4 linked regions of the Anolis sagrei genome follow. The protein of the gene in region 2 purifies or fractionates together with the protein of the main gene of each other region. This does not show direct contact. Links are inferred from orthologs where the notes say so. Each region holds a gene or a part of one and is shown on either strand. Other genes may lie near its edges.

Region 1 (7,653 bases), on a different chromosome or scaffold from region 2:
TTTCGAGAACCTTGTTGTTAATATTATTATTATCTTGCTTTCAAGAACCTTATTATTATTACTATTATTCTTATGCAGATTCAAGAACCTTATTATTATTATTATTATTATTATTATTATCATCCTGCTTCAAGAATATTATTATGATGATGTTTGTATTTGATTGTGTTTATATTATTGTAATTGTGATGGTAGCGGCCTTGTTTATGTACACATACAATATAATAATGTAATAGTAATATAATAATATAATAATATACTTCTTCCCTTGCAAATATGTACAGTAATATAATAATAATAATGTAATACTTCCCTTCTACATACATAATACAATAATGCAATAGTAATAGTAATATAATAATAAAATACTAATATACTACTTCCCTTGTACCTAAATAATATAATAATGTAATAGTAATATAATTATATAATAATGATATACTACTTCCCTTGCTAATATGTACAGTACTATAATAGTAATACTAATATACTACTTCCCTTGTACATATATAATATGATAATGTAATAGTAATATAATAATATAATAATAATATACTACTTCCCTTGAGAATACGTACAGTAATATAATAATGTATAATAAAATAAAATTCAGAGACGGGGTACAAATACTAGAAATAAATAATAATAATTATTTGCTTTTGAGTATTTTTATTATGATACTGTTTTTGAGAACCATATTATTATTACCCTGCATATGAGATCATTATTATTAATAATAATAATAATAATAATAATAATAATAATCTGGTTGCTCCTGACAAGATAAATAAAAAAATATTATTATTATTATTATTATTATTATTATTATTATTATTATTATCCTGTTTCTGAGAACCTTATTATTATCATCATCCTGCTTTTGAGAAATGCATTGTTATTGTTATCATCCTGCTTCTGAGACCCTTATTATTGCTATTATTATTATTATTATTGCTATTATGATTCTGAGGAGTCATGCCCCGGCGTGCGCACCATGCAGTCCATGAGGATGAAGCGGAGGTGGTCCTCGTTGAAGGCCTGGTGGCCGTTCTTGTCGTAAGCGGCCCAGATGTTGCTGGCAATGGCTGCCGTCACCCGCGCGTCCGTGTCCCCGTACCCCGAGTACGCCAGCAGCGAGCCCTCGTTGTTCAGCAGCCTGGGAACAATAATCAGAATAATAATAGCATCACAATAATAACTGCAATAATAATAATAACAACATATAGTACTATATAGTAATATATACTACTTATATTTTGTTATGATAATAATATACTATCTTGTATGTACAAATAACTTGTAAGCCGCTCTGAGTCCAATCAGGGTGAGAAGGGCGGGACATAAATGTTGTAAATAAATTAATATAATACTTCCCTTTTACATATATTGTATGATATAATAATGTGATAGTAATAGTAATATAATATTATAATAATCATATACTACTTTCCTTGTGAATATATACCATAATATAATAATACCAATGCAATTCTTCCCTTGTACACATATAATATAATAATAGTAAATAATATAATAACAATACTAATATAATAATATGTTTCCCTTGTGAATATATACAGTAATGTAATATTTCCCTTGTACACATACAATATAATAATGTAATAGCAATAGTAATGTAATAATAATATACTACTTCCCTTGCAAATATATGCCATAATGTAATAATAATAATAATAATAATAATGTAATTCTCCCCATGTACATATATAATATAATAACAATACTAATGTTTCCCTTGTGAATATATACAGTAATATAATAATACTAATAATAATAATGTAATATTTCCCTTGTACACATACAATATAATAACGTAATAGTAATATAATAATAATATACTACTTCCCTTGCGAATATATACCGTAATATAATAATAATAATAATAATACTGTAATTCTTCCCTTTTACATATATAATATAATAATAGTAAATAATATAATAACAATAATAATATAATAATATCATCTTTCCTTTGTGAATATATACAGTAATATAATAATAATAATGTAATAGTAATATAATAGTAATATAATAATATACTACTTCCTTGCAAATATATACAGTAATATAATAATAATAATGTAATAGTAATATAATAGTAATATAATAATATACTACTTCCTTGCAAATATATACAGTAATATAATAATAATAATGTAATAGTAATATAATAGTAATATAATAATATACTACTTCCTTGCAAATATATACAGTAATATAATAATAATAATGTAATAGTAATATAATAGTAATATAATAATATACTACTTCCTTGCAAATATATACAGTAATATAATAATAATAATAATAATAATGTAATACTTCCCTTGTACACATACAATATAATAATGTCATAGCAATAGTAATATAATAATAATATACTACTTCCCTTGCGAATATATACCGCAATATAATAATAATAATAATAATACTGTAATTCTTCCCTTTTACATATATAATATAATAATGTAATAGTAATAATAAAATACTAATATACTCCTCCCCTTGCAAATATACAATATAATAATAGTAAATAATATAATAGCAATACTATTATAATAATATGTTTCCCTTGTGGATAGATACAGTCAAGTGATCCTAACTTTGGCCCCCAAGAAGCCCAAGAGGAGGAGGAGGGTGACAAGGCAGAGGGGATTCTGGGAGATGTAGTCCAAGCCACACCGGAAGTGGGGGCTGGCTCCTTCACTCCCACTCTTATTAGTATTATTATGATGATAGAAGGGAAGGATTCTATTATTATTATTATTATTATTATTATTATTATTATTATGACTATTATGACTCTTGTTGTGAGGACTAGGCCTCTGCGAATGGAGGGAGAGGCGTTCCTAGAGAGGCCGGAAGTGAGGCCTAGCTAATCGAGGGAGACACTCACAGGGTGCTCTGCACGCCGCCGGTGTTGGCCTGGCTCAGGACCTGCGTGAGCGCCTTCGGGCGAAGCATCGCTCTCGGAAGGAGAAGGAGGAGAACCCGGAGGAGGAAGAGGAGGAGAAGGCCAGGCCTTGGAGTCCCCTCTCCACACGGACACTTCCGGCAGGCAGCACTTCCGCTCCGCTCTAGCCCGCGCGTCTCTTTTTCTCTCCCATATAGACAATGGAGGGTAGACGAGGCGAGGGGCCTAGAGCGGCACCTGAACTGCCTGGCCGCCACTGTTGCCCTCCTTAGAGTCTCCCCTCCACACCCACACTTCCGGCAGGCAGCACTTCCGCTCCGCTCTAGCCCGCGCGCCTCTCTCTCTTATCTATATAGATACACAAATGGGGGGAAGACGAGGGGTGAGGCCTAGAGCGGCACCTGAAGGGCCGGGCTTTGAGATCTCTATGGTTCGGCTGTCTTCTTCCCTCCCTCCCTCCCTCACAATCCCGCGAGGCACGCCGGGAAATGGAGTCTCCTCTCCACAAGGACACTTCCGGCAGGCAGGCACTTCCGCTCCGCTCTAGCCCGCCCGTCTCTTTTCCTCTCCCATATAGACAATGGAGGGTAGACGAGGCGAGGGGCCTAGAGCAGGACCTGAACTGCATGGCCGCCGCTGTCGCCCTCCTTAGAGTCTCCCCTCCACACCCACACTTCTGGTAGGCAGCACTTCCGCTCCGCTCTAGCCCGCGCGCCTCTCTCTCTTATCTACATAGATACACAATGGAGGGAAGACGAGGGGTGAGGCCTAGAGCGGTACCTGAAGGGCCGGGCTTTGAGATCTCTATGGTTTGGCTGTCTTCTTCCCTCCCTCCCTCACAATCCCGCGGGGCACGCCGGGAAATGGAGTCTCCTCTCCAGACGGACACTTCCGGCAGGCAACACTTCCGCTCCGCTCTAGCCCGCCCGTCTCTTTTCCTCTCCCTCATATAGACAATGGAGAGAAGACGAGGAGCGGGGCCTAGAGCGGCACCTGAACTGCCTGGCTTTATTCCTCCCTGATTTTCACCACCTCCTGTCAGAAGCCTATGAGACTGTGAACCACCGCTGCCTCCTCCTGAGAAAAATGTATAGTATCACAAAGGACGACCACCTCACCCGCCTCATAGGAAACCTGCTACAAAACAGGAGCTTCTTTGTTGAGTTCCAGGGCCAGAGAAGCAGATGGCGGAAACAGAAGAACGGCCTGCCTCAGGGGAGCGAGTCGCTCCATCCATGTTCAGCATCTACACAAATGACCAGCCACTGCCAGAAGGGACAGAGAGTTTCATCTATGCTGATGATCGTGCCATCACCGCTCAAGCAGGGAGCTTTGAGATGGTTGAACAGAAGCTCTCCGAAGCCTTAGCTCAGTGTTTCCCAACCTTCCTAATGCCTCTTAATACAGTTCCTCGTGTTCAACATCTACACAAATGACCAGCCACTCCCAGAAGGGACAGAGAGATTCATCTATGCTGACGATCGTGCCATCACCACTCAAGGAAATCAGCTACCGAACAGGAGCTTTTTTGTTGAGTTCCATGGCCAGAGGAGCAGGTGGCGGAAACAGAAGAACGGCCTGCCTCAGGGGAGCGTGCTTGCCCCATCCATGTTCAACATCTACACAAATGACCAGCCACTGCCAGAAGGGAGAGAGAGTTTCATCTATGCTGATGATCGTGCCATCACCACTCAAGCAGGGAGCTTTGTAATGGTTGAACAGAAGCTCTCCGAAGATTTAGGTCAGTGTTTCTCAACCTTCCTAATGCCTCTTAATACAGTTCCTCGTGTTTAACATTGACACAAATGATCAGCCACTGCCAGAAGGGACAGAGAGTTTGATATACGCTGACGATCATGCCATCACCGCTCAAACAGGGAGCTTTGTAATGGTTGAACAGAAGCTCTCCAAAGCTTTAAGTGCTCTTACTGTCTATTACAGGGAAAATTGACTGATTTCTATTCCATATAAAATGCAGAGAAGAACATAGAATATAAAAAAGGACTTCATAGGAAATCTGCTACAAAACAGGAGCTTTTTTGTTGAGTTCCAGGGCCAGAGAAGCAGATGGCAGAAACTGAAGAACGGCCTGCTCCCATGCATGTTTAACATTGACACAAATGACCAGCCACTGCCAGAAGGGACAGAGAGTTTAATATACGCTGACGATCATGCCATCACTGCCCAAGCAGGGAGCTTTGCAATGATTGAACAGAAGCTCTCGGACTTCTCAGTCTTCTTATTGCCTCTAAATACAGTTCCTCATGTTTAACATTTACACAAATGACCAGCCACTGCCAGAAGGGATGGAGAGTTTCATCTATGCTGACGATCGTGCCACCACCGCCCAAGCAGGGAGCTTTGAGATGGTTGAACAGAAGCTCTCAGAAGCTTTAGGTGCTCTTACTGCCTATTAGGTGTAAATAGCCTCTGTATCTCTCTCTATATATGTTGTGTGGCATCGAAGATGTGCCATGTATACGTGCATTGTGATCTGCCCTGAGTCCCCTGCGGGGTGAGAAAGGCGGAATATAAATACTGTAAATAAATAAATAAATAAATAAATATTTATTCTGACACATTTGGTCTAGAACCCTCCCCCAAGTAAAGGGTAAGAAGCAACGGACGCCACTTGGCTGCTTTCTCATGCTGGTATTGTGTCCTCATTTCTCCTCGGCCACGTCGTAGACCACCAGGTTAAAGGCTCCGATGCTGCTGCCGCTGCGGCTCCGCTGACCCCGCTGGCACCCGGGGACCGTGCAGGTGCTGTGGCGCGAGGAGAGGTCGGCCTTGAGGTTGCGCACCAGCGTCACCTGCTTGACCAGCTCCTGCTCCATCTGGGAGAAGCTCTGGCAGAGACGGCACTCCAGGGTCTCTTCGCCGGACAGACAGCCCTCCTGGACACGGGGGCAAAGAGGGCACTCAGTTGGGGGCCCAGGTGGGATTGCAACACCCGTAGAGAAGGACTTGGGGGCCCAGGTGAACCACAGAGAAATAGGGCTGTGAAGGGGACGGTTACAAGCAAAGTTCCATCTGACAGTTGCTTTCCTTCTCAACCCATATATCTCTATATGGGTTGAGAAGGAAAGCAACTGTCAGATGGAACTTTGCTTGTAACCGTACTACTTCCTGAATTGTAGCTCGCTGTAGTAAGACGTGTCTGTGGAATGTGCTTAGTAAACTTAGTTTCTTTTGTAACTCAAAGCCTGCGGAGTCCTGATTTTGCAACTCAGTGTCTGCTGATCTAGCCTTCCTTCCGCTGGGCAACGTCTGAACTCTGACATACCCTGCCTCGAGCGGCAAGGAAAGGCAAGATGATGAGGATAGTCCTCATCTGCAGAGAAGAAATTACCTCAAAGACAGTCTGGAAAGGCTTTATTTCTCAAAGCATACAGTACGGTTACAAGCACCATCGTTAGGGCTCGTAAAGTTCAGACTAAAACCCGGTGCGGATACCCCAGGAGGAGGGAGGGAGGCCACCCAGGAATCACCTTTGCTTTGTTGGCCCCTTCGGCGAGGATCCTGTCCCGCAGCCACTTGACACCCAAAGCCAAGAGGAAGACCACAGCGAAGATCACGACCACGTTCCCCCAGCTCAGCCCGGCAGCGGAGTTGTCCGGCTTGTCCACTATGTGTCGGGCGGCCCAAGCAGGCCGGCAGAAGAACCACAGGAGCCCACACCACGGCAGGCCCTGCATGGCAAAGGCCCGATCGGGGCCCGACTGCCACAGATCAAGACTTTTATGTGATGTCATAAAAGGAAAACATGGCCGGAGTCCCGTTGCGTGGAATTCCATAGCAACTGGTGCAGCTTAGAGTCAATCAATCAATCAATCAATCAATGTCACATTTCCATGTTTCTGAACTGCTAGGTTGGCAGAAGCTGGGGCTAACAGCAGGAGCTCACCCCACTCGCTGGATTCGAGCCGCCTACGTTTTGGTCAGCAAGTTCAGCAGCTCAGCAGTTTAACCCGCTGCGCTACTGGGCGGCCTAATAATAATAATAATAAGTCTAGATGTCATCGGGATTTGTGAAAATATTATTGAACAGCTAGGCTGGCAGAAGCTGGGGCTAACAGTGGGAGCTCACCCCACTCGCTGGATTCGAGCCGCCTACATTTTGGTCAGCATGTTCAGCAGCTCAGCAGTTTAAGCGTCCACACGGTGGAATTAACCCAGTTTGAAACCACTTTAAAGCTAGTGGCACGATCCTCGGAAGCCTATGAACAAACTCGGTGCATGAATTTCTAATATTAATTATGAATGTTAATTAATGTTAAATGTGTGTTTGGGTTGAAGAGAAGGATTTGCATGCGTGTTTTGCAAAAGAGAAACCATTGAAAGATCCCAAAATAATAATAATAATAATATTAATAAGATATTAAATCAAAAATTCAAGGAAGATATTACATTAAAAGCCTGCTGTTTGGGTAGGAAAGAAATGTGTGTGTGTGTGTGTGTGTGTGTGTGTGTGTGTATATATATATATATATATTCATTCATTCATTCATTCTTCTTTCCACACTGGACAGTTATACCACTTTGATTCCGGTTTAACTTCCAATTGGGATTGGTTGTCTTTGGATGGTTCAGAATGGTGATTATTGGCTGTTTGGTTGTTGATCACACGGTTGTTTTGTTTTGTTTTGATATACTGAAGGTGTAAATCCATTGTGTTGTTTATACAGACTGTTTTGACTAAAAAGTGTCCCGTCTCT
Region 2 (8,064 bases):
CTCTATATCCACGGATTTTGCATCCATTTATTCAATCATCCACAGTTTGAAAATATCACACACACACACAATACAAAGTTTGATTTTCCATTTTAAATAAGGGACACAATTTTACTGCACCACTATATATAATGGGATTCCAGTTTCCATGTACTTTAGTATCCACAGGAGGTCCTGGAAGCAAAACTCAGCAGATAATAAGGGCTCTTCCACACTGCCTTATAACCCAGAATATCAAGGCAGAATAACCAACAGTATCTGCTTTAAACTGGAATATCTGGCTGCCCTTATGTCTGATTCAGAATGTAGCATGGCTACCAAACTAATTGAATGATTTTTCTGTCTGCTTTCAAAACACTACTCAAGACTATCTTACTTAGGGCCCTTCCACACAGCCCTATATCCCAGAATATCAAGGCAGAAAATCCCACAATATCTGCTTTGAACTGGGTTATCTGAGTCCACACTCAGATAATGTGGGATTTTCTGGTTTGATATTGTGGGATATAGGGCTGTGTGGAAGGACCCTTAGATGACTGTCTTTTATTAAAAACAGGCTGCCAACCTTTATCATTGTCAAAAGATTCATTATTTGCCATTCTAACTACTACTTTACTTCTTACTTAGGTGATCCCTCGTTGTCTGAGTAGGATTGTCTCCCAAGATCGGTGTACTGGTGGCAGGTCCATAGGTGACTGTGGAGCCCTATTCTCAACCTGCATGTTGTCCCACAGTTAGGGCATTGGTTTCCAGGTGGAAGGCGGTCCCAGTCGGAGTTGGCTTGACACTCCTTCTTCTTGGCATATTTCTCTCTTTCGCCTTCCATTTGTGCCTCTTCAAATTCTACAGCACTGCTGGTCACAGCTGACCTCCAGCTGGAGCGCTCAAGGACCAGGGCTTCCCAGTTCTTAGTGTCTATACCAGAGTTTTTAAGGTTGGCTTTGAGCCCATCTTTAAATCTCTTTTCCTGCCCACCAAGATTCTGCTTTCCATTCTTGAGTTCAGAGTAGAGCAACTGCTTTGGGAGAAGGTAGTCGGGCATCCGGACAACGTGGACGGTCCAGCAGAGCTGATGGCAGAGGACCATCGCTTCAATGCTGGTGGTCTTTGCTTCTTCCAGCACGCTGACATTTGTCCGCTTGTCTTCCCAGGAGATTTGCAGGATTTTCCAGAGGCAGCGCTGATGGAATCGTTCTAGGAGTTGCATGTGACGTCTGTAGATAGTCCATGTCTCGCGGGTGTATAGCAGAGTTAGGAGGACAATAGCTTTATAAAAAAGCACCTTGGTCTTCCTATGGATGTCCCAGTCCTCAAACACTCTCTGCTTCATTCAGAAAAATGCGGCACTCGCAGAGCTCAGGCGGTGTTGTATTTCAGTGTTGATGTTGACTTTTTGGAGAGGTGACTGCCAAGATAGTGGAAATGGTCAACATTTTCTAATGTTGCACCATTAAAATGTATTTCTGGCATTGGAGAGGGATATTTATTTATTTATTTTTATATTCCGCCCTTCTCACCCTGAAGGGGACTCAGGGCGGAGCACAGCAAACATATATACTGCAGACATTCAATGCCGGGACACAAATTCTTATATACATACATAAACATTAAAAACATTTATCAAAATATTAAAATACACCATTTAAAACCGTCTGAGTCATTCACATCAAATCTAATCGGCCTGGTAATGCTTTATTGCCCTGTCCCGAAAACTTGGTCCCACAGCCAAGTTTTAACCATCTTTCTAAAGGACAGGAGGAAGGGGTGCGACCTGATCTCACCAGGAGGGGAGTTCCATAGCTGGGGAGCAATCACCGAGAAGGCCCTGTCTCTCGTCCCCACCAATCGTGCCTGTGACAATGGTGGGGCGGAAAGCAGGGCCTCCCTGGAGGATCTTAATCTCCGCGATGGTTCATAGGGAGAGATGCGTTTGGACAGGTAATGTTTAGGGCTTTATAGGCCAAATATTGAATTGTGCCCAGTAGCAAACTGGCAGCCAGTGGAGCTGGCGTAACATGGGAGTTGTATGCTGGTGCCTGCTGGAAGAGCACTTTGGTTTTCTTGATGTTCAATGACAGGCCGAGCTTCTCATATACTTCTGCGAAGTGGCTTGTAGATCTTCTTCTGAATGCGCATAGATTATTATTATTATTATTAAACTTTATTTGTACCCCGCTAGCATCTCCCGAAGGACTCGATACGGCTTACAAAGGCCAAGGGCTCAACAACAACAACAAACAATAACAATACAATGCAAGTAAATTAAAAACATAAGCAATAACAAAAACAAAACATTACATTATTACGCAGTAAAACCAGGGCCGGGCCAATGAAGGGTACAGGTTAAAAAGTGCTGGGTATAAGAGGTGATATGTTGGGATTCTGGGCAAGTGCAATGTGCAGAGAGTCTTAAGCTCTAATAAAGTGCTTTCGGGATGTAGTGCTGAAGGTTATCCTATTCTGGAAAGGCACATCGGAATAACCAGGTCTTCAAGTTCTTCCTAAAGACTGCCAACGTAGGTGCTAGTGTAATGTCTTTGGGGAGGGTGTTCCAAAGTGGGGCCAACCACAGAGAAGGCCCTGTCCCTCGTCCCCATCCTCCCAACATCCATGAAGTTTTGGAAATGTGAAAACTATTTTAATAGTCTTCCAAAAGCTATGACATGGCTGCTAATCATAAATGCGGCTCTAGGCTGTTTAAATGTCCCAAACTATTCTAGAAGTGGGCTCATGATCATGATCCTCTTTGCAAACAATTCAGGCACTTGCTCCACTTGGGTCCCTTCCAGACAGCTGCATAAAATCCCACATTACCTGCTTTATACAGATCCCAAAGCATGATACCCCAAATAGAGCAAGCAATCGAATGAAAAGTAGTGAGATGCCCTCTTACCTGCAAAGGATCTGCCTGCCCATGCCTTTCCCCAGGATGTGGGTCGGATCCCTCCCTCCCGGCCAAAGAACATCAACAGGAAGGAGGGAGATGGAGCTTCCAGCATGTGGTGCGCCGTAGAGCTATTTCCATTAGAGTGAACACACCTTCTGTGCCTAGGCTTCACCAGGGAAACATAGAGCTAGAAATTATAGATCACCGCTTTTCTTTCCTTTCGCTTTACCCATAACATCTTTCCTATCTATGACCCCTTCTACTCTGCCACGGGAAATCTAGATTATATCCTTCCAACTACTTTATATGGCAGTGTAGACTCAGGAACCTTCCACACAGCCATATAATTCAGAATATCAAGGCAGATGATACACAATTGAACTGGGTTATCTGAATCCACACTGCCCTATAATCCAGTTCAAAGCAGATAAAGTGGGATTTTCTGTCTTGATATTCTGAGTAATTTGGCAGTATGGAATCAGGACCCTGCCACACATCCCTATAATCCAGAATATCAAGGCAGATGATACACAATTGAACTGGGTTATCTGAGTCCACACTACCATATAATCCAGTTCAAAGCAGATAAAGTGGGATTTTCTGTCTTGATATTCTGAGTAATTTGGCAGTATGGACTCAGGACCCTGCCACACATCCCTATAATCCAGAATATCAAGGCAGATGATACACAATTGAACTGGGTTATCTGAGTCCACACTACCATATAATCCAGTTCAAAGCAGGTAAAGTGGGATTTTCTGTCTTGATATTCTGAGTAATTTGGCAGTATGGACTCAGGACCCATCCACACAGACCTGTAACCCAGAATATCAAGGCAGATAATCCACAATATCTGCTTTGAATTGGGTTATCTGAGTCCACACTGCCATATAATCCATTTCAAAGCAGATAATGTGGATTATATGATTTGATAATCTGGATTCTATGGCAGTATTGAAGGAACCTGAAGCTCAGGACTTTAAAAGTAAATTAAACTATGGATTGTGAGGAAAGGGACTGAGGCCCCTTCTACACAGCTGTATAAAATCCAGATTATCTGATTTGAACTGGATTATAAATCAGTATAGACTCTGGACCCATCTATACTGCCATATAAAATCCACATCTGCTTTGAATTGGATTATATGGTAGTGTAGACTAAGATAATCTAGTTCCAAGCAGATAATGAGGATTTTCTGCTTTGATAATCTAGATTTTCTGCCAGTGTAGAAGGGGCCTCTGATCCCTTCCAGACAGCCCCTATATCCCAGGTTTTATGCTTATCCCAGATTATCTGGCAGTACGAACTCATATAATCCAGTTTAAAGCAGATAACCTGGGATTAGATCCTCGGATATAGGGTCTGTCTGGAAAGGCCCTCAGATAATCCAGTTCAAATAAGATAATGTGAATTATCTGGGTTTTATGGCAGTGTAGAAGGGCCCTGAAACAATTTTGAAACAGTACATCGCAATGCTATTTTGTGCGTGCTATTTTGTGTTCATTATCCACACAATAGTTTGTGACAATCTCATCTGGAAAGGACTGTAGTAAACAGAACTGAGGAAGGCCCCTTCTACACTGCCATTTAATCCAGATTATAAAAGCCGATAATCCACATTATTGGTTTTGAACTGGATTATATGAGTCAACATTGTCATATAATCCAGTTCAAAGCAGATAATCTGGATTTTATATGGCACTGTAGAGGAGGCTGATGATGCAAAGGCAAAAATGTATGTGTTGGGACTGATTATCTTCCTCACACACAAAAGCTTGAGATATTGAAGAACTGATGTTAGCAAAACATAGTAAAGAACAGCTGAGGACAGAAGTTGCAAAACAAACAGTGTGGAGAACATAAATATTTAATTACCGTAGCTTTCTTCAGTCCCTGCGGCTTAGGTGTATCTATACTATAGATATAATGCACTTTGGCATCACTTTGCCATGGCTCAATGGGATGGAATCCTGGGAGTTGTTGTTTTGCAAGTTCTTTAGCATTCTCTCGCAAGGAAAGCTGGAGGCTACCAAACCTAAAATCCCAGGGTTCTGTAGTATTGAGTTGTGGAAGTTAAAGTGGTGTCAAACTGAATTACTTTTATGCATGTACAAGAGGTTGCAGTAGTTTTCTTTTATTTATTCCACACAGCTGAATAAAATCCCACAGTATCTGCTTTGAACTAAAATATGACAGTGTGGACTCAGATAATCCTGTTCAAAGCAGATATCGTGTGATTTTCTGCCTTTATATTCTGGGTTATATGGCTGTGTGGAAGGGCCCTAACTCCATACTGCCAAATAATCTAGTTCAATGTGGATTTTATACACCTGTGTGGAAGAGGCCATAGAAACTCAAACATCCAGCTGAATTGACCCTTGAACACACTACAAATAGACACACTTCAGATTTAAGAGCTGAAAAGTAAACATGCAAATTCCATGCATTATACCTAATCAAAGACTTGCTTTTTGAGAAACATTGCCAGATGACGCTCTTAGACAAATAATGGGTTATTTCAATTCTTTTGGTTCATAGTGGAAAGAACTGTTTGTAGCACTCACCAAGAAGCTGTTGTTTTGCTGAGCTGCACAAAAATATGCTAACTTTCCACTCCCTAAAAGCATCTGTACTCTCAACTATTGCACAATTGGCAAATATGGAAGAGGGCATCTTTTTTTGCATGACAATACTACCATCTTAGCAAATTTGTTTCCTGTCATGTTTCTGTCAAAAGAAAAAGGACCTAACCAGAAGCAAAAGTGTCCAGAAGTCGATGGCTTCAGATATGGTGTGGCTTCTGTTGTTCAGAAAGTGTATTGCACAGCTGAGTTTCAGGCTGGAAAGACACTGCTCTATATCCCAGGATCTAATTCCAGATGGGGCAATGCTGACAGGGGATAGGAAAAAAAGCAGAACTACTTAATGCCTTCTTTGCCTCGGTCTTCTCACAAAAAGAGTCATCTTCAACCTCAGCAAGATGGAGTGGATGAGGGATTGGAGGACATCCAACCCCAAATTGGGAAACAAGTCGTCCAGGAATACCTGGCCGCTCTAAATGAGTTCAAGTCCCCAGGGCCAGATCAACTACACCCAAGAGTGCTGAAGGAACTAGCGCAACGTTTCTCAACCTGCGGGTCGGGACCCCTTGGGATGTTGTGAGGGGGTGTCAGAGGGGTCTCCAAAGACCATCAGAAAACACAGTATTTACCGTTTGTTCTGGGGGTTCTATGTGGGAAGTTTGGTCCAATTGGTGGGGTTTAGAATGTTCTTTGATTGTAGGCAAACTATAAATCCCAGCCACTACAACTCCCAAATGTCAAGGTCTATTGTTCCCAAACTCCACCAGTGTTCACATTAGGGCAAATAGAGTATCCGTGCCAAGTTTGGTCCAGATCCATTATTGTTTGAGTCCACAGTGCTCTCTGGGTGTAGGTGAACTACATCTCCAAAACTCAAGGTCAATGCCCATGAAACCCTTCCAGTATTTTCTGTTGGCCATAGGAATCCTGTATGTCAAGGATTCCCAGAACGCTATTTGATTGAAGGTTAACTATAAATCCCAGCAACTACAACTCCCAAATGACAAAATCAATCCCCCCCTCAAACCCCTACCAGTATTCACATTTGGGCGTATTGGGTATTTGTGCCAAATTTGGTCCAGTGAATGAAGACACATCCTGCATGTCAGATATTTACACGATGATTCGTAACGGTAGCAAAATGACAGTTATGAAGTAGCAACGAAATTACTGTTATGGTTGGTGGTCACTGCAACATGGGGAAATGGATTAAGGGATCGCGGCATGAGGAAAGTTGAGAACCACTGAACTAGCGGAAGTAATCTCGGAACCATTGGCAACCATCTTTGAGAGTTCTTGGAGAACGGGAGAAGTTCCAGCAGATTGGAGGAGGGTCAATGTGGTCCCAATCTTCAAGAAGGGAAAAAAGGATGACCCAAACAACTACCGTCCGGTCAGCCTCACGTCGATACCGGGCAAGATTCTGGAAAAGATTGTTAAGGAAGTGGTCTGCAAACACTTAGAAACAAATGCGGTCATCGCTAATAGTCAACATGGATTTATCAAAAACAAGTAATGCCAGACTAATCTGATCTCTTTTTTCGATAGAGTTACAAGCTGGGTAGATGCGGGGAATGCCGTGGATGTAGCGTACCTGGTGTAAAGAAGCGCTAATCCCACTAGATGCCACCAAAATTATGTGAGGAAGCGTTAATCTTCTTTAATGCCACCAATATTCTGTGAAGAACCTTCTTTTAGATATCAATTAAGCTGCCACCAATATGTTTAGAGACGCTGGTTTATGTCTCTGTTTATCTTTAGTTGTGTTGTGAGGTGACTTTGGTAGTGTGGAATGCACCAAGCATAAAAGCAATGGAGGAGGCAGGTTTGAAATACAAAGAGAACAAGTTTTATTGTTAACAGAACGTAATTGTTGCAGTTTTGAGAATTTGAACTTGGCACAAGGCTTGATGTTACAAAATGGCTGGTTTGAGATACATTCAGGCTTCTGATGTTACAATTCTACAAACTCCTTCTTTAGTGAAGTGCTTATACTACTTCAGAGTTCCCTATTGTGAATATCCACACTGTTTGCCCTATACTCGGAACAAACCACTGATCACCAGTCTTTCCTTACTGGCGATCCTTTAAACCCCCTCTGTTAGATTCTTTTAACCTAAGCAATCTAACAAGGTAACACCTTCAGCTCTCTTGCTGAAGAAATATTCACAAATTCTAAGAACTGCTGAATTCTCACAGCTTCACAACCCAGAGCCCTAACTGACTCTGAACCTCTTCCCCGGGTCTCATCCACCGGACTAAACTACTTTTCCCAGAGTCCTTTCTTGACTCTGCTATTTCCCAGAGCCCTTAACTGGCTCTGCTCTTCTCCTCAGGGTCTCTTCCTCCTGACTCCATATTAACTGACGCTTTCAAACCTTTTATTCCTTAAACTCCGCCCACCTCCTCTGAGGCTTTGTTACTATGGCAACCTATCTCTTACAGTTAGGCCATAGCAACTAATGTAAACCCTAAATACAGTTTAAACACAGTACATTAAACACTCTATAATAAACATTTCTCTACACCTGGATTTCAGTAAGGCCTTCTACAAGGTCTCCCATGACCTTCTGGCAAGGAAACTAGTCTAATGT
Region 3 (7,530 bases), on a different chromosome or scaffold from region 2:
AACAATAACGAAACAATAACGAATCGATTCGTTAATGGCGGCCGCGATCGCGCAAAACGCTAAAAAACTTCAGAAAAAACTTCTGAAGCTTCCCTCTCCCTCTGTTGTTGACTGTTGGTGTGATATTATAATTTTTTTTCACTAATTAAACAAAAAACAACCATAAAACTTGCCCCAGACATGCGGAAATAATAACGAAACGATCTCAAACCAATAACGAAACAAATACATAACGAAATACGAAGCATTTACGAAACAAATTGAAAAATTCGTTTCGTTTTTAAGTTGCTCCAGAATGGTTCGTTATCGCTTCGTTAACAAAAAATTAACGGATTTTTAACGAATTACGAAACGAAACGCCCAGCCCTAATATATATATAGATAGATAGATAGATAGATAGATAGAGATAGATATAGATAGATAGATAGATAGATATATAAGCTGCTCTGAGTCCCCTTGGGGGTGAGAAGGGCGGCAAAGAAAGGTCATAAACAAATAAATACACAGGCCAGAAACTACAAACTACAAATCCCAGCGCTCTGCAGGAGTTGGAAAGGCAGCCACAAGGTTGGGAGGGGAGAGGTGCCCCAGTCATGCATCACAGCATCAACCTGCAGCAGAATTCTGGGAAAAGTAGTTCAGGAGAGGTGGGACCTGCTTGGGTCAGAATCCCAAAGACTCTGCTGTTGACTACATTTCCCAGAATCCTGCGGGAGTAAGGCTGATACACAACACACCAAGCCCACACTGACCTCCAGCAGTAAATGGAATATTGGGGGGGGCATAAATACACAGGCCAGAAACTACAAACTACAAATCCCAGCACTCTGCAGGAGGTGGAAAGGCAGCCACAAGGTTGGGAGGGGAGAGGTACTCCAGTCATGCATCACAGCATCAACCTGCAGCAGAATTCTGGGAAATGTAGTTCAGGAGAGGTGGGACCTGCTTGGCTCAGAATCCCAAAGACTCTGCTGTTGACTGCATTTCCCAGAATCCTGCAGGAGTAAGGCTGATACACAACACAACAGCCCCACACTGACCTCCAGCACTACATGGAATTGGGGGGGGGGGGGGTCCGCAGAGAAGGCCTCCCCTCCCTCTGCTCTCACCTGAGATGCGTCGGAAGGGAACTTCCGTGGAGCGGGGCAGGCGGAAGGCGCAGGCGGTGCTGGCCAGCTCCGAGAGGGCCGCCGCCGTGCGCTCGTCATTCTCCAGGTCGCCCGCAGACTGCAAAAGGGAGAAGGAGAGGGTCAACCAGGGAGGAGGAGAATTACCATTATGATCAGTTAGGTTTGCTTATGCCCCACCTTTTGGAAGCAATTTGACCCCATAACAATCCACAATACACAATTAAAAGATTTAAAATAGAAGAGAGGGGCCCAGGAAGACAGCCCCATCTAGTCTCCTGTGTCAGGCTAATAATATAATATATTGGATATACATAGAATATTTATAATATTATAATGTCATGCAATAATAATAATAATAATAATAATATATTATTATTATTATTATTATTATATATTTATATTACATGTAATACTACTAATAATATTACAATATGGTGGTATGGTGCAATATAGCAATGTTTAATGCTGATATTGTACTATGCTAATTATATAATATATTGCATGTAATATAAACCTTGTAAGCCGCTCTGAGTCCCCTTCGGGGTGAGGAGGGCGGCATAGAAATGCCATAAATAAATACATAAATAAATAAATAAAATATTTTAAAGAACTAAAGTACATCAGAGGGTATACCAATATCCACCGGGAATAGCCAGACATAGAGTTTTCCTTTTACCCCGGCGTGCCATCACAATAATGCTGTAAGTGATTATGAATAAGCCAGGAGCCAGACATGGAGGCGAAACGTCAGGAGAGAGTGCTGCCGGGTGACATTGTCCACACAGTGCCAGGAAAACACACAGCTAACCCAAGCCCAGCCTGCCCCTGTTGATCTCCAACTAGGCCCCGCCCCTCCTCTTTCAGGCCCCGCCCCCTCCACCTCTGGCCCCGCCCTCCTATATCTCGCTCCTCCCTCCCAGGCCCCCTCTGAGGCCCCGCCCTCCTATACAAATCCCGCCCCTTCTCTCACAGACCCCACCCCCTCATTCTTCTCTTTTCTTAATCCCCGCCCCTTCAATCCCAGACTCCGCCCTCCTCTCGCAGGCCCCGCCCCTTCTCAGCCAGACTCCGCCCCCTCTCAATGTTTGCTTCCACTTCTTAATCCCCGCCCCTCCTCTCCCAGGCCCCGCCCCTCTTTTCCAGACCCCGCCCTCCTCCCGCAGGCCCCGCCCCTTCTCTCCCAGACTCCGCCCCCTCTCAATCTTCTCTTTTCTTAATCCCCGCCCCTTCAATCCCAGACTCCGCCCTCCTCTCGCAGGCCCCGCCCATTCTCAGCCAGACTCCGCCCCCTCAATGTTTGCTTCCACTTCTTAATCCCCGCCCCTCCTCTCCCAGACCCCGCCCTCCTCCCGCAGGCCCCGCCCCTTCTCTCCCAGACTCCGCCCCCTCTCAATCTTCTCTTTTCTTATTCCCCGCCCCTTCAATCCCAGACTCCGCCCTCCTCTCGCAGGCCCCGCCCCTTCTCAGACAGATTCCGCCCCCTCTCAATGTTTGCTTCCGCTTCTTAATCCCCGCCCCTCCTCTTCAAGGCCCCGCCCCCTCTTTCCCAGACCCCGCCCTCCTCCCGCAGGCCTCGCCCCTTCTCTCCCAGACTCCGCCCCCTCTCAAATTTCTTTTCTTAATCCCCGCCCCTTCAATCCCAGACCCCGCCCCCTCTCGCAGCCCCCGCCTCTTCTCACCCAGACCCCGCCCCCTCTCGCAGGCCCCGCCCCTTCTCTCCCAGACTCCGCCCCCTCTCAATCTTCTCTTTTCTTAATCCCCGCCCCTCCTCCCGCAGGCCCCGCCCCCTTTGCTCACGGCCAGGACGGCTCCGTCGCAGATGACGAGGTACCCGGTCTGGTCGGGGACGCGCTCCAGCCCTTGGGTCAGCGCCGCCGCCGCCGCCGCAGAGGAAGCCTGCCCGAGGGAGAGAGAGAGAGACCCGGATGAGCACAGGAAGAGGGGGGCCAGGGGGGCCAGTCCCTCCCCTCCCGGTCGCCCTGGCAACGCACCATCTCCACAGCCAAGGGGCCCGCGCGTCACGTGAGGGCCTCCAACTTCCGGCAACACCCTTGCAGCTCCGCTAGGCGTCCCGCCCTCAATAGGCGCTCTTCCCCCGCTCCCTGCCGGCCTCCCATTGGCTCCCGTGGATGAGTGGGCGTGGCGTAGCCGTGGCTTCCTCCAATCAAAGACTACGAGGAAGCGTGCCGCCCAATGAGGAGGAGGAGCAGCGCGGAGGGACCGGAAGTGAGGGAAGAGGGATGCCTGGCCTCAGGAGGGAGGGCCCCTTCTTCCCCGGAATCTCCCAAAGAGAGAGAAGGAAGGGCCCTCAGCGCAGGATCAGAGGGAAAGAGTGGGAGAGACCCCCAAAGGCCAGCCAGCCCAGCCCCCTTCTTTCTGCCTTCATGCAGGGAAAGCACCATCAAAGCACCCCCGACGGATGGCCTCCCAGCCTCAACACTACTACTGCTGCTACTAATAATAATAGAGTTGGGAGAGACATTTCAAGGCCATCTAGTCCAGCCTCCTGCAGGGGAAGCACCATCAAAGCACCCCTGAAAGATGGCCATCCACCCTCAATAATAATAATAATAATAGAGTTGGAAAAGACATTTAAGGGCCATCTAGTCCAATCCGCTTCTGCCTTGCAGGGAAAGCACCATCAAAGCACTCCCAACAGGTGGCCAGCCAGCCTCAATAATAATAATAATAATAATAATAATAATAATAATAGAGTTGGGAGAGACATTCAAAGGCTATCTAGTCCAACCCCATTCTGCCTTCATGCAGGGGAAGCACCATCAAAGCACCCCTGAAAGATGGCAATCCAGCCTCAATAATAATAATAATAATAATAATAATAATAATAATAGTATACTGTGGACTCATCTTATTGTATTTCAAATAATAATCATAATCATAATAATGAGTGTCTGCTGTGGAGTCATTTTATGTTTCTAATAATAATAATAATAATAATAATAGTGTTGGAAGAGATCTTTAAAGGCCACCTAGTCCAGCCCCCTTCTGCCCTGCACATTTAAAGCACCTCTGACAGATGGCCACCCAGTTATTTTTTTGGCTTTGAGCAACTGCATCATCCCATGTGGGGCTAGCTGACCATATCCTCTGTCTTCTCCCCACGGTCTGCTGTACCGATCCATTTAGTTTTCATTTAAATCAAGAACTGGCAAATAGAGGGAGAAGGCGTGGAGACAGCGACAGGGTTTGTCCTCCTAGGCGCAAAGAGGTTTCGGACTCCAACTCTCACAGTTCCTAAGAGCTGGTAGGCTGTTGGGAATTGTAGGAGTTGAAGTCCAAAACACCCGGAGGGAGGGAGGGCTGAAGGTGGCCTGGGCCTGAGTTAGAGGAAGTAATGCTACCCCTCTGCTTTGGTTAGACCACATCTGGAATATTGTGTCCAATTCTGGGCACCACAATTCAAGAGAGATATTGACTCTAAGCTGGAATGTGTCCTGAAGAGAGCGACTAAAATGATCAAGGGTCTGGAGAACAAGCCCTATGAGGAGCGGCTTAGGGAACTGGGCATGTTTAGCCTGAAGAAGAGAAGGCTGAGAGGAGATATGATAGCCATGTACAAATATGTGAGAGGTAGCCACAGGGAAGAGGGAACAGATCAAGGGTCTGGAGAACAAGCCCTATGAGGAGCGGCTTAGGGAACTGGGCATGTTCAGCCTGAAGAAGAGAAGGCTGAGAGGAGATATGATAGCCATGTATAATTATGTGAGAGGAAGCCACAGGGGGGAGGAGGGAGCAAGCTTGTTTTCTGCTTCCCTGGAGACGAGGACGCAATGGAACAATGGCTTCAAACTACAAGAGAGGAGATTCCATCTGAACATTAGGAAGAACTTCCTGACTGTGAGAGCCGTTCAGCAGTGGAACTCTCTGCCCTGGAGTGTGGTGGAGGCTCCTTCTTTGGAAGCTTTTAAGCAGAAGCTGGATGGCCATTTGTCAGGGGTGATTTGAATGCAATATTCCTGCTTCTTGGCAGAATGGGGTTGGACTGGATGGCCCATGAGGTCTCTTCCAACTCTTTGATTCTATGATTCTAGACATTGGCTTGCAGGTAGCCCCATGGCTGTGAGTCTAGACAGCTGTTGTCCTCCTGGAGTGATGGTGGGCGTTGTCCTGGCGTGGCTAGTCTTCCTGGCGTGGCCTCACTTCCATTTCTGTCCAATATAATTTGGGAGTACATTGTATTTGAAGACACCAGCTGTACATTAGTCGTGTTATTTATTAACGAGCAAGATGTGCCTCTGCTCAGATGCCTGCCTTGCTTGAGGGCCCTTGCAAGGGAAGGAGCCCAACGCCGTCTCTTGAGCACTTCCGTAGTGTCCAATGCATTCAGCCAAGGCATTGCTCCAGACGGGAGCTGGCCAAGGGGGCCGATGCACAAGGTGTGCTAACTCAAACTGCAAAATGTGCACGAATGAGAACCAGCACTTTCGAGTGTGTATTGACCCCCTAGCACAGCCGTTCTCAGCCTTCCCAATGCCGTGACCCCCTAACACACTTCCTCACGTGGGTGGTGACCCCCAACCAGAACATTATTTTCGTTGCTACCTCATAACTCTAATTTTGCTCCTGTTATTCGTCGTAATGTAAATATCTGATCTGCAGGATGCATTTCGATTCACTGGACTAAATTTGGCCCAAATACCCAATAAGCCCAAATCTGAATACTGGTAGGGTGGGTGGGAGGGATTGATTTTGCCATTTGGGAGCTGTAGTTGCTGGGATGTATAGTTCACCTACAATCAAAGAGCATTCTGAACGCCATCAATGATGGAATTGACCTAAACTTGGCACACAGAACTCCCATCACCAACAGAAAATACTGGAAGGGTTTGGTGGGCATTGACCTTGAGTTTGGGAGTTGTAGTTCACCTACATCCAGAGAGCAGTGTGGACTCAAACAATGGTGGATCTGGACCAAACTTGGCATGAATACTCCATATGCCCAAATGTGAACACTGGTGGAGTTTGGAGAAAATATACCTTGACATTTGGGAGTTGTAATTGCTGGGATTTATAGTTCACCTACAACCAAAGAACATTCTGAACTCCACCAAGATGGAAATGAACCAAATTTGGCACACAGAACTCCCATCACCAACAGAAAACACTGGAAGGGTTTGGTGGGCATTGACCTTGAGTTTGGAAGTTGTAGTTCACCTACATCCAGAGAGCAGTGTGGACTCAAACAATGATGGATCTGGACCAAACTTGGCACCAATGCTCAATACACCCAAATGTGAACACTGGTGGAATCTGGGGAAAATAGGCCTTGACATTTGGGAGTTGTAGTTGCTGGGATTTATAGTTCACCTACAATTAAAGAGCAATCTGAAATTCAGCAAATATCAGTGTTTCTCAACCTTCCCAATGCTGTGACCCCTTAATACAGTTCCTCATGTTTTGGTGACCCCCAACCATCAAATTATTTTCGTTGCTACTTCATAACTATAATTTTGCTACTGGTATCAATTGTAATGTAAATATCTGATACACAGGATGTATTTTCATTCACTGGACCAGATTTTGCACAAATACTCGATACTCCCAAATCTGAATACTGTTGGGGGGGGGGGGGGAGATATTCATATTGTCATTTGGGAGTTACAGTTTGCTGAGATTTATAGTTCACCTCCAATTAAAGAGCATTCTGAAATGCACCAAAGATGGAACTGAACCAAACTTGGCACACAGAACTCCCATGGCCAAAAGAAAATACTGGAAGGGTTTGGTGGACATTGTAGTTCACCTACATCCAGAGAGCACTGTGGATTCAAACAATGATGGATCTGGACCAAACTTGGCATGGGTACGCAATATGCCCAAATGTGAACAGTGGTGGAATTTGGAAGTCGTGATTCCTGGGATTTTTAGTTCCCCTACAACCAAAGAGCATTCTGAACTCCACCAACAATAGAATTGGGCCAAACGTCCCACAAAGAACCCCCATGACCAACAGAAAATACTGTGTTTTCTGATTATCTTTGGTGATGATGTCAGGCACCCCCCCCCCCCTTTCAGAATTAAGGGATAAGAACTTATAGTTCTGCAAAGGGCAAGGTCACCAGACTACACAACAAGGGTTAAGTCTTGACCACATTGCCAAGGCACTGACAACAACAAGGACCCCACGAGGCTTTTTGGGAAATGGCTGGATCTTGGGACTTCTGCCCTTTTGTGAGAGTTGTAGTTCCCCAAGGGCCGGACAATGGATTCTGTTGCTGCCTGACCCAGCGCACATAACTGGGTTCCTGTTTCCTTTTTGTGACTCTCTGACTTATGCACTGGACTATTTATCATATCCATGACCACGAACTATCCTTTTCAAAGTTTATGAAGCCTCCAGCTTGTGCCTTAATAAAGATCAATTATTGAGATAAACTT
Region 4 (7,535 bases), on a different chromosome or scaffold from region 2:
TTCTGCCTATGAGTGCATCAAACTACAACTTCCCAAGATATCACAGTATCGGGTGCATAATGGATGCAGTTTGGTGCCACTTTAAGCTGCCATGGTTCGATGTTATGGGATCATGGGAGTTGTAATTTTGCAAGGTCTTTTGGCATATCTACCAATGAGTGCATCAAACTACAACTTCCCAAGGTATCACAGTATCCGGTGCATAATGGATGCAGTTTGGTGCCACTTTAAATTGCCATGGCTCAATGTTGTGGGATCATGGGAGTTGTAGTTTTGCAAGGTCTCTTGGCATACCTGCCAACGAGTCCATCAAACTACAACTTCCCAAGATATCACAGTATTGGGTGCATAATGGATGCAGTTTGGTGCCACTTTAAACTGCCATGGCTCAATGTTATTAAGTCATAGGAGTTGTAGTTTTGCAAGGTCCCTTCGCATTTCTGCCAAAGAATGCACCAAACTACAACTTCCTGAAGTCATGGGAGTTGTAGCTTTGCAAGGTCTCTTGGCCTATCTGTGAATTAGTGCATCAAACTACAGCTTCCCAAGATATCACAGTATTGGGTGCATAATGGATGCAGTTTGGTACCATTTTAAACTGCCGTGGCTCAATGTTATGGGATCATGGGAGTTGTAGTTTTGCAAGGTCTCTTGGCATTTCTGCAATGAGTGCACCAAATTACAACTTCCCAAGATAGCACAGTATCTGGTGCATAATGGATGCAGTTTGGCACCACTTTAAACTTCCATGACTTATTGTCAAGGGAGTTATAGTTTTGCAAGGCCTTGCCAAAATTCTTTGCCAAAAACTGATACAGTTCCCAGGTTTTTCTCTGCCAAAGACTTCTGGTAGTAAATACAACTCCCAGGTTTCCACACCATTGCTAAAGTAGGGTCAAACAAACTGAATTAATTTTGCAGTGCAGATGCACCCTTGATATACCTGCTGTGTGTTTGGGGATGGGTCCAGTTGCAAGGCCCCTTCCCCACAATGGGGGGGGGGCTTGAACCCCAATCCTTCATGCCCCCCCCCTTTCCTAAAAAGCAAAGCCTTGGAAACTCTGCTCTTTGCATGCAAAGACTTTCTCTTTGGAGCAAACCAGAAACCCTCTCTCAACCCATCCTGGTTGCTCCCCATTTGGGGGGTCCCCACCTCCCCAAGACCCCTAAAGACTAAGCTTCACCTATTAAGCAAAAAACAGTTTCACAAACCCTGCTTCTGGATGGTCCAAGAAGGAAGAAGAAAAGCAGGGAAACCTAAAAAGGAGGAAGGAAGGAAAGAAGGAAATGGGTGGTCCCTTTAAAGGACAGGAAGCCCCCCCCCAAAAAGGGAGGGGCAGCAGGGTCATAAAAGGGGAGGCTTGCAATGAGGAGGGCTGCAATAAGCCTTCTCCTTCCAAAACAATGGGAATGTGGGAAGGATAAAAAGGAAGAGGAGGAGAAAAGAAAGGGCTGGAAAGGACAAAGAGGCTGGGAATTGCCTTAGTCTGCCCATCTGCTTAGGGGTCAGGCTATATGACCTCAATCCCTACCTGGAATTATGAGGACTCCAACTGGACACAGGGCTATTCCAGGGAAAGTTTGGCCAATGAAGAAAAGGTTGAGACTAGGACTTTAAGAAGCTCAAGAAATGGGTTGAGGCCATGTAGTCTGGCCCCAGAGTCCGGCTTTGTGGGAAGGAGCATTCAAAGGGCATGCAGTCTGACCCCAGAGCCCAGGTTTGTGGGAAGGAGCACTCAAAGGGCATGCAGACTGACCCCGGAGCCCAGATTTGTAGGAAGGGGCACCCAAAGGGCATGCAATCGTACCCCAGAGCTCAAATTTGTGGGAAGAGGCACCCAAAGGGCATGCAGTCTGACCCCAGAGCCCAGATTTGTGGGACGAGGCACCCAAAGGGCATGCAGTCTGACCCTAGAGCCTAGATTTGTGGGAAGCGGAACCCAAAGGGCATGTAGTCGTACCCCAAAGCCCAAATTTGTGGGAAGGGGCCCCCAAAGGGCATGCAGTCTGACCCCAGAGCCCAGATTTGTAGGAAAGGGGCAGACAAAGGGTATGTAGTTCGACTCCAGAGTCCTGCTTTGTGGGAAGGGTCACCCAAAAGGCATGCAGTCTGACCCCAGAGCCCATATTTGTAAAAAGGCGCATCCAAAGGGCTTGCAGTCGTACCCCAGAGCCCAAATTTGTGGGAAGGGGCACCCAAAGGGCATGCAGTCTGACCCCAGAGCCCAGATTTGTAGGAAAGGGGCAGACAAAGGGTATGTAGTTCGACTCCAGAGTCCTGCTTTGTGGGAAGGGTCACCCAAAAGGCATGCAGTCTGACCCCAGAGCCCATATTTGTAAAAAGGCGCATCCAAAAGGCTTGCAGTCGTACCCCAGAGCCCAAATTTGTGGGAAGGGGCACCCAAAGGGCATGCAGTCTGACCCAGGAGCCCATATTTGTAAAAAGGCGCATCCAAAGGGCATGCAGTCGTACCCCAGAGCTCAAATCTGTGGGAAGGGGCATCCAAAGGGCATGCAGTCTCATTCCAGAGCCCGGATTTGTGGGAAGGGGCACCCAAAGAGCATGCAGTCTGACTCGAGTGCAGATTTGTGGGAAGGGACACCCAAAAGGCATGCAGTCATACCCCAGAGCCCAAATTTGTGGGAAGGGACACCCAAAGGGCATGCAGTCGTACCCCAGAGCCCAAATTTGTGGGAAGAGGCACCCAAAGGGCATGCAGTCTGACCCTGGAGTCTAGATTTGTGGGAAGGGGCACCCAAAGTGCAAGCAGTCGTACCCCAGAGCCCAAATTTGTGGGAAGGGGCACCCAAAGCGCAAGCAGTCATATCCCAGAGCCCAAATTTGTGGGAAGGGGCACCCAAAGGGCATGCAGTCTGACCCCGGAGCCCGGAATGAATATCGTTGCTGTGTGGAGCCATGGAAAGAAGCCTGCTGGTCCCCTCAGTCAGGAAGTTCTTTCTCATGTTCAGATGGAATCTCCTCTCTTGTGGTTTGAAGCCATTGTTCCATTGCGTCCTAATCTCCAGGGAAGCAGAAAATAAGCTTGCTCCCTCCTCCTCCCTGTGTCTTCCTCTCACATATTTATACATGGCTATCACGTCTCCTCTCAGCCTTCTCTTCTTCAGGCTAAACATGCCCAGCTCCTTAAGCCGCTCCTCATAGGGCTTGTTCTCCAGACCCTTGATCATTTTAGTCGCCCTCCTCTGGACACATTCCAGCTTGTCAATATCTCTCTTGAATTGTGGTGCCCAGAATTGGACACAATATTCCAAATATCAGCACCAGACACATTAAAACATTATCATCACAGTTAAAAGATCCAAATCGTCCAAAACCATCACTGTATAATACATTATAGAGTATATATATATATATATATATGATAATATAATTACCCAAACTCTATAATAGATATATTATAGATATAATATAATAGATATAATAGTTACCCAAACTAATATAGAATGTATAATAAAATATCATTAATAATGTATACTAAAATTATAATATAATAATAGATATAATATAGTTACCCAAACTAGTATATAATATATAATAAAATAATATATAATTTATAATGTATACTAAAATAATATATTAATAACAATATATATAAATAATATATATAATATAATAATAAATATAATATATAATAAAGCTATAAGGCAATTATGGCAGCAATTATATGAGTGCGAGCAATTATAAGAGGGATATGGCTTTGAAACTGACTTTTATCGCTTCAGGAAATAATATAATATATAGTTACCCAAACTAGTATATAATATATAATATAAAAATATATAATTAATAAAGTATACTATAATATATTAATAACAATATATAATATAATATTAATAGTAAATATAATATTATAATAAATATAATATAAATATAATATATAATAAAGTTACAAGGCAATTATGGCAGCAATTATATGAGTGCGAGCAATTAGAAGAGGGATATGGCTTTGAAACTGAAGGAAAGAAAGAAAGAAAAAGGGAAGGGAGGAAAAACTAAACTAAGCCTATTGCGCATGCGCAGCCAGTGTTTCGCAAGAAAAAAAAACCCCAAACACATCACGTGATCGCCTCCTGCGAGAAAAGGCAGGGCAGGAATGGAAATTTCCGCTCCGCCGTACGCAATGCGCATGCGTCCCCTTCAGACTGAGAGCGGATTGGCTAGCGCGTGAGCTCAGAGCCCGGCCTCCCTTTGGGATGATCACGTGAGCCAGCCCCACCCTCCCCAGCATTGCCAGAGTCCCCGGATGTTGACAGAGTCTAGAGTTGCCTTCACGTGACCGGAAGTGAGGGCGGAAGTGAGGGGGAAAGTGAAAAAGGAAGCACTGCGAGGGGAGCAGCGGCAGAGGGTCCGTCGGCGGGCCGGTGGGCGGCTTCTTCGGCCTCCTCGTCGTCCTCCGCAACCGCTGCCACCATGGGCTGTTGCTACAGCAGCGAGAACGAGGCCTCGGACCAGGTCTGGGCCCAAAGAATGGGGGGAAAGGGAGGGGCCCCTAAAGGTCATCAAGACCAAACCCAGAGGGACAAACCTGGGCCTTTTGGGGTTTGCTGTGGGCCCACTTTGGTGGTCATGAGGGTTCTGTGTGGGAGGTTTGGCCCAATTCTATCGTTGGTGGGGTTCAGAATGCTCTGTGATTCTAGGTGAACTATCAATCCTAGCAACTACAACTCCCAAATGTCAAGATTCCATTTCCCCCAAACTCCACTAGTGTTCACATTTGGGCATATTGAATAGCCATGCCAAGTTTGGTCCAGATCCATCACTGTTTGAGTCCACAATGATCTCTGGATGTAGGTGAACTACAACTCCCAAGCTCAATATCAATGCCCACCAAACCCTTCTAGTGTTTTCTGTTGGTCATGGGAGTCCTGTGTGCCAAGTTTGGTTCAATTCCATCATTGGTTGAGTTCAGAATGGTCTTTGATTGTAGGTGAACTATAAATCCCAGCAACTACAACACCCAAATGTCAAGATTCTATTTCCCCCAAATTCCACACGTGTTCACAGTTGGGCATATTGAGTATTCATGCCAAGTTTGGTCCAGATCCATCATTATTTGAATCCACAATGATCTCTTGATGTAGGTGAACTACAACTCCCCAACTCAACATCATTGTTTGTGTCCACAGTGCTCTCTGGATGTAGGCGAACTACAACTCCCAAACTCAACATCAACGCCCACGAAACCCTTCTAGTGTTTTCTGTTGGTCATGGGAGTCCTGTGTGCCAAGTTTGACCCAATTCCATCATTGGTTGAGTTCAGAATGGTCTTTGATTGTAGGTGAACTATAAATCCCAGCAACTACAACTCCCTAATGACAAAATCAATTTTTTTTAGTGAAGGACATAGATTGGACTATTACGTGTCTTGTGTCCAAATCTGGTGTCAATTCGCCCAGTGGTTTTTGAGTTCTGTTAATCCCACAAACGAACATTACATTTTTATTTATATAGATCAAAAGTATTGCATAAATTAGTATAAAACCCATAAAAATAGAAGGAGCGCAAGTGGCTAAATATCTTTTGAACAAAAACGGGCAACAGCATTGTCTGTAGCCTCCAACAATTTTTCCTCTGTACATGAAGCAGGACACAATGGATAAGTATACAGATGCAGAGTTGTCTGTTCTGCTCCACGGTGGTCCACTCTCTCGTTACATCCCGAATAGACTACTTTATTTATTTATTTATTTATTTATCTATCGTGTCAGGAGCAGCCAGACAGTTTGTATTACATTTTTGACAGAACAAACAAACAAACATACAAAAGACACAAAGTTTGCCAGTTTGGTAGTGGATTAAATGTCCTTTGACCAGTATCTGGCTTCTTGGAGTGCCTCTGGTGTTGCCGCAAGGAGGTCCTCCATTGTGCAAGTGGCAGGGCTCAGGGTGCATTGCAGCAGGTGGTCTCTGGTTTGCTCTTCTCCGCACTCGCATGTCGTGGATTCCACTTTGTGGCCCCATTTCTTAAGGTTGGCTCTGCATCTCGTGGTGCCAGAATGCAGTCTGTTCAGCTCCTTCCAAGTCGTCCAGTCCACTGTGTGCCCAGGGGGGAGTCTCTCATTTGATATCAGGTTCTGGGTTTGAGCCTGCCACTTTTGGACTCTCACTTGCTGGGGTGTTCCAGCAAGTGTCTCTGTAGATCTTAGAAAACTATTTCTAGATTTAAGTCGCTGACATGCTAGCTGATACCCAAACAGGGGATGAGCTGGAGATGTCTCTGCCTTGGTCCTTTCACTATTGGCTGCTACTTCCCGGCGGATGTCAGGTGGTGCAATACTGGCTAAACAGTGTAATTTCTCCAGTGGTGTAGGGCGCAGACACCCTGTGATAATGCGGCATGTCTCATTAAGAGCCACATCCACTGTTTTAGCGTGGTGAGATGTGTTCCACACTGGGCATGCATACTCAGCAGCAGAGGAGCACAGCGCAAGGGCAGATGTCTTCACTGTATCTGCTTGTGATCCCCAGGTTGTGCCAGTCAGCTTTCGTATGGTATTGTTTCTAGCACCCACTTTTTGCTTGATGTTCAGGCAGTGCTTCTTGCAGGTGAGAGCACAGTCCAGAGTGACTCCCAGGTATTTGGGTGCGCTGCAATGCTCCAGTGGGATTCCTTCCTTCTCAGGTCATCCTCAGAGCTCGGGATGCTTGTCTGTTCTTAAGGTGAAAGGCACATGTCTGTGTTTTAGATGGATTAGGGATCAGCTGGTTTTCCCTGTAATAGGCAGTAAGAGCATCTAGAGCTTCGGAGAGCTTCTGTTCTACCATCTCAAAGCTCCCTGCTTGAGCAGTGATGGCATGATCATCAGCATAGATGAAACTCTGTCCCTTCTGGCAGTGCGACCAGTATAAATCTGATAAAAATAGAAGGAGCACAGGCAGCTAAATATCTTTTGACCAAAAACGGGCAACAGCAACGACATTGTCTGTAGCCTCCAACAATTCTTCCTCTGTACATGAGGCAGGGCACAGCGGACAAGCATACAGATGCGGAGTTGTCTGTTCTGCTCCACAGTCACATAAGGTGTGGGTTTCTTTTAGGTGGTGCCATTTAGCCAGGTTGTCTTTTGATCTGCTCACTCCGCTTCTGAGTTTGTTCAGGGATTTCCAAGTGGCCCATTCTTGGTTTGCCCCTGGAGGAAGACCCTCCCTCTTGGGGGGCCATCCAGTTGGTATTTCCTGGTTGAGCTGCCCAGAAGGAGACCCTTGCTGTTGCTGGGGGAACGTCAAAAAGAGTCTTGGATCTCATGAAGGTTTTCCTTGACTTGAGTCTACTGGGAGGAGGCTGACAGCCATGCAGTGGGTGGCTGCTATGAGCTCACAGTGGCGCAATAGGTTATACCCTTGAGCCAGCAGGATTGGAGACAGACAGGCTGGAGGTTCGATTCCAGGGAGAGCGCGGATGAGCTCACTTTGTCAGTTCCAGCTCCCCATGTGGGGACCTGAGAGATGCTTTCCACAAGGATGGTAAAACATCAAAACATCCCGGCGTCCCCTGGGCAACATCCTTGCAGAC

Evidence for each region.
Region 1: the proteins of SLC38A9 (region 2) and LAMTOR2 purify together in Homo sapiens (co-immunoprecipitation; 5 studies listed by BioGRID and IntAct, with this or other methods). This does not show direct contact. The link is inferred for Anolis sagrei from reciprocal best matches to the Homo sapiens genes SLC38A9 and LAMTOR2.
Region 3: the proteins of SLC38A9 (region 2) and LAMTOR4 purify together in Homo sapiens (affinity purification with mass spectrometry; 4 studies listed by BioGRID and IntAct, with this or other methods). This does not show direct contact. The link is inferred for Anolis sagrei from reciprocal best matches to the Homo sapiens genes SLC38A9 and LAMTOR4.
Region 4: the proteins of SLC38A9 (region 2) and LAMTOR1 purify together in Homo sapiens (co-immunoprecipitation; 5 studies listed by BioGRID and IntAct, with this or other methods). This does not show direct contact. The link is inferred for Anolis sagrei from reciprocal best matches to the Homo sapiens genes SLC38A9 and LAMTOR1.

What each region holds. Positions count from the first base shown.
Region 1 is NC_090032.1:22,561,972-22,569,624, reverse strand, and holds the start of LAMTOR2 (ragulator complex protein LAMTOR2), read right to left. Parts: upstream 3,077-7,653; 5' UTR 2,986-3,076; coding exon 2,918-2,985; intron 1,157-2,917; coding exon 994-1,156; intron 1-993. UniProt on the Homo sapiens protein: As part of the Ragulator complex it is involved in amino acid sensing and activation of mTORC1, a signaling complex promoting cell growth in response to growth factors, energy levels, and amino acids.
Region 2 is NC_090022.1:272,439,100-272,447,163, reverse strand, and holds the start of SLC38A9 (neutral amino acid transporter 9), read right to left. Parts: upstream 3,010-8,064; 5' UTR 2,894-3,009; intron 1-2,893.
Region 3 is NC_090026.1:580,916-588,445, reverse strand, and holds the start of LAMTOR4 (ragulator complex protein LAMTOR4), read right to left. Parts: upstream 3,222-7,530; 5' UTR 3,126-3,221; coding exon 3,123-3,125; intron 3,028-3,122; coding exon 2,929-3,027; intron 1,229-2,928; coding exon 1,111-1,228; intron 1-1,110. UniProt on the Homo sapiens protein: As part of the Ragulator complex it is involved in amino acid sensing and activation of mTORC1, a signaling complex promoting cell growth in response to growth factors, energy levels, and amino acids.
Region 4 is NC_090023.1:4,770,520-4,778,054, forward strand, and holds the start of LAMTOR1 (ragulator complex protein LAMTOR1), read left to right. Parts: upstream 1-4,273; 5' UTR 4,274-4,432; coding exon 4,433-4,474; intron 4,475-7,535. Other genes in the region: secreted frizzled-related protein 2-like, read right to left, coding at 1,213-1,349. UniProt on the Homo sapiens protein: Key component of the Ragulator complex, a multiprotein complex involved in amino acid sensing and activation of mTORC1, a signaling complex promoting cell growth in response to growth factors, energy levels, and amino acids.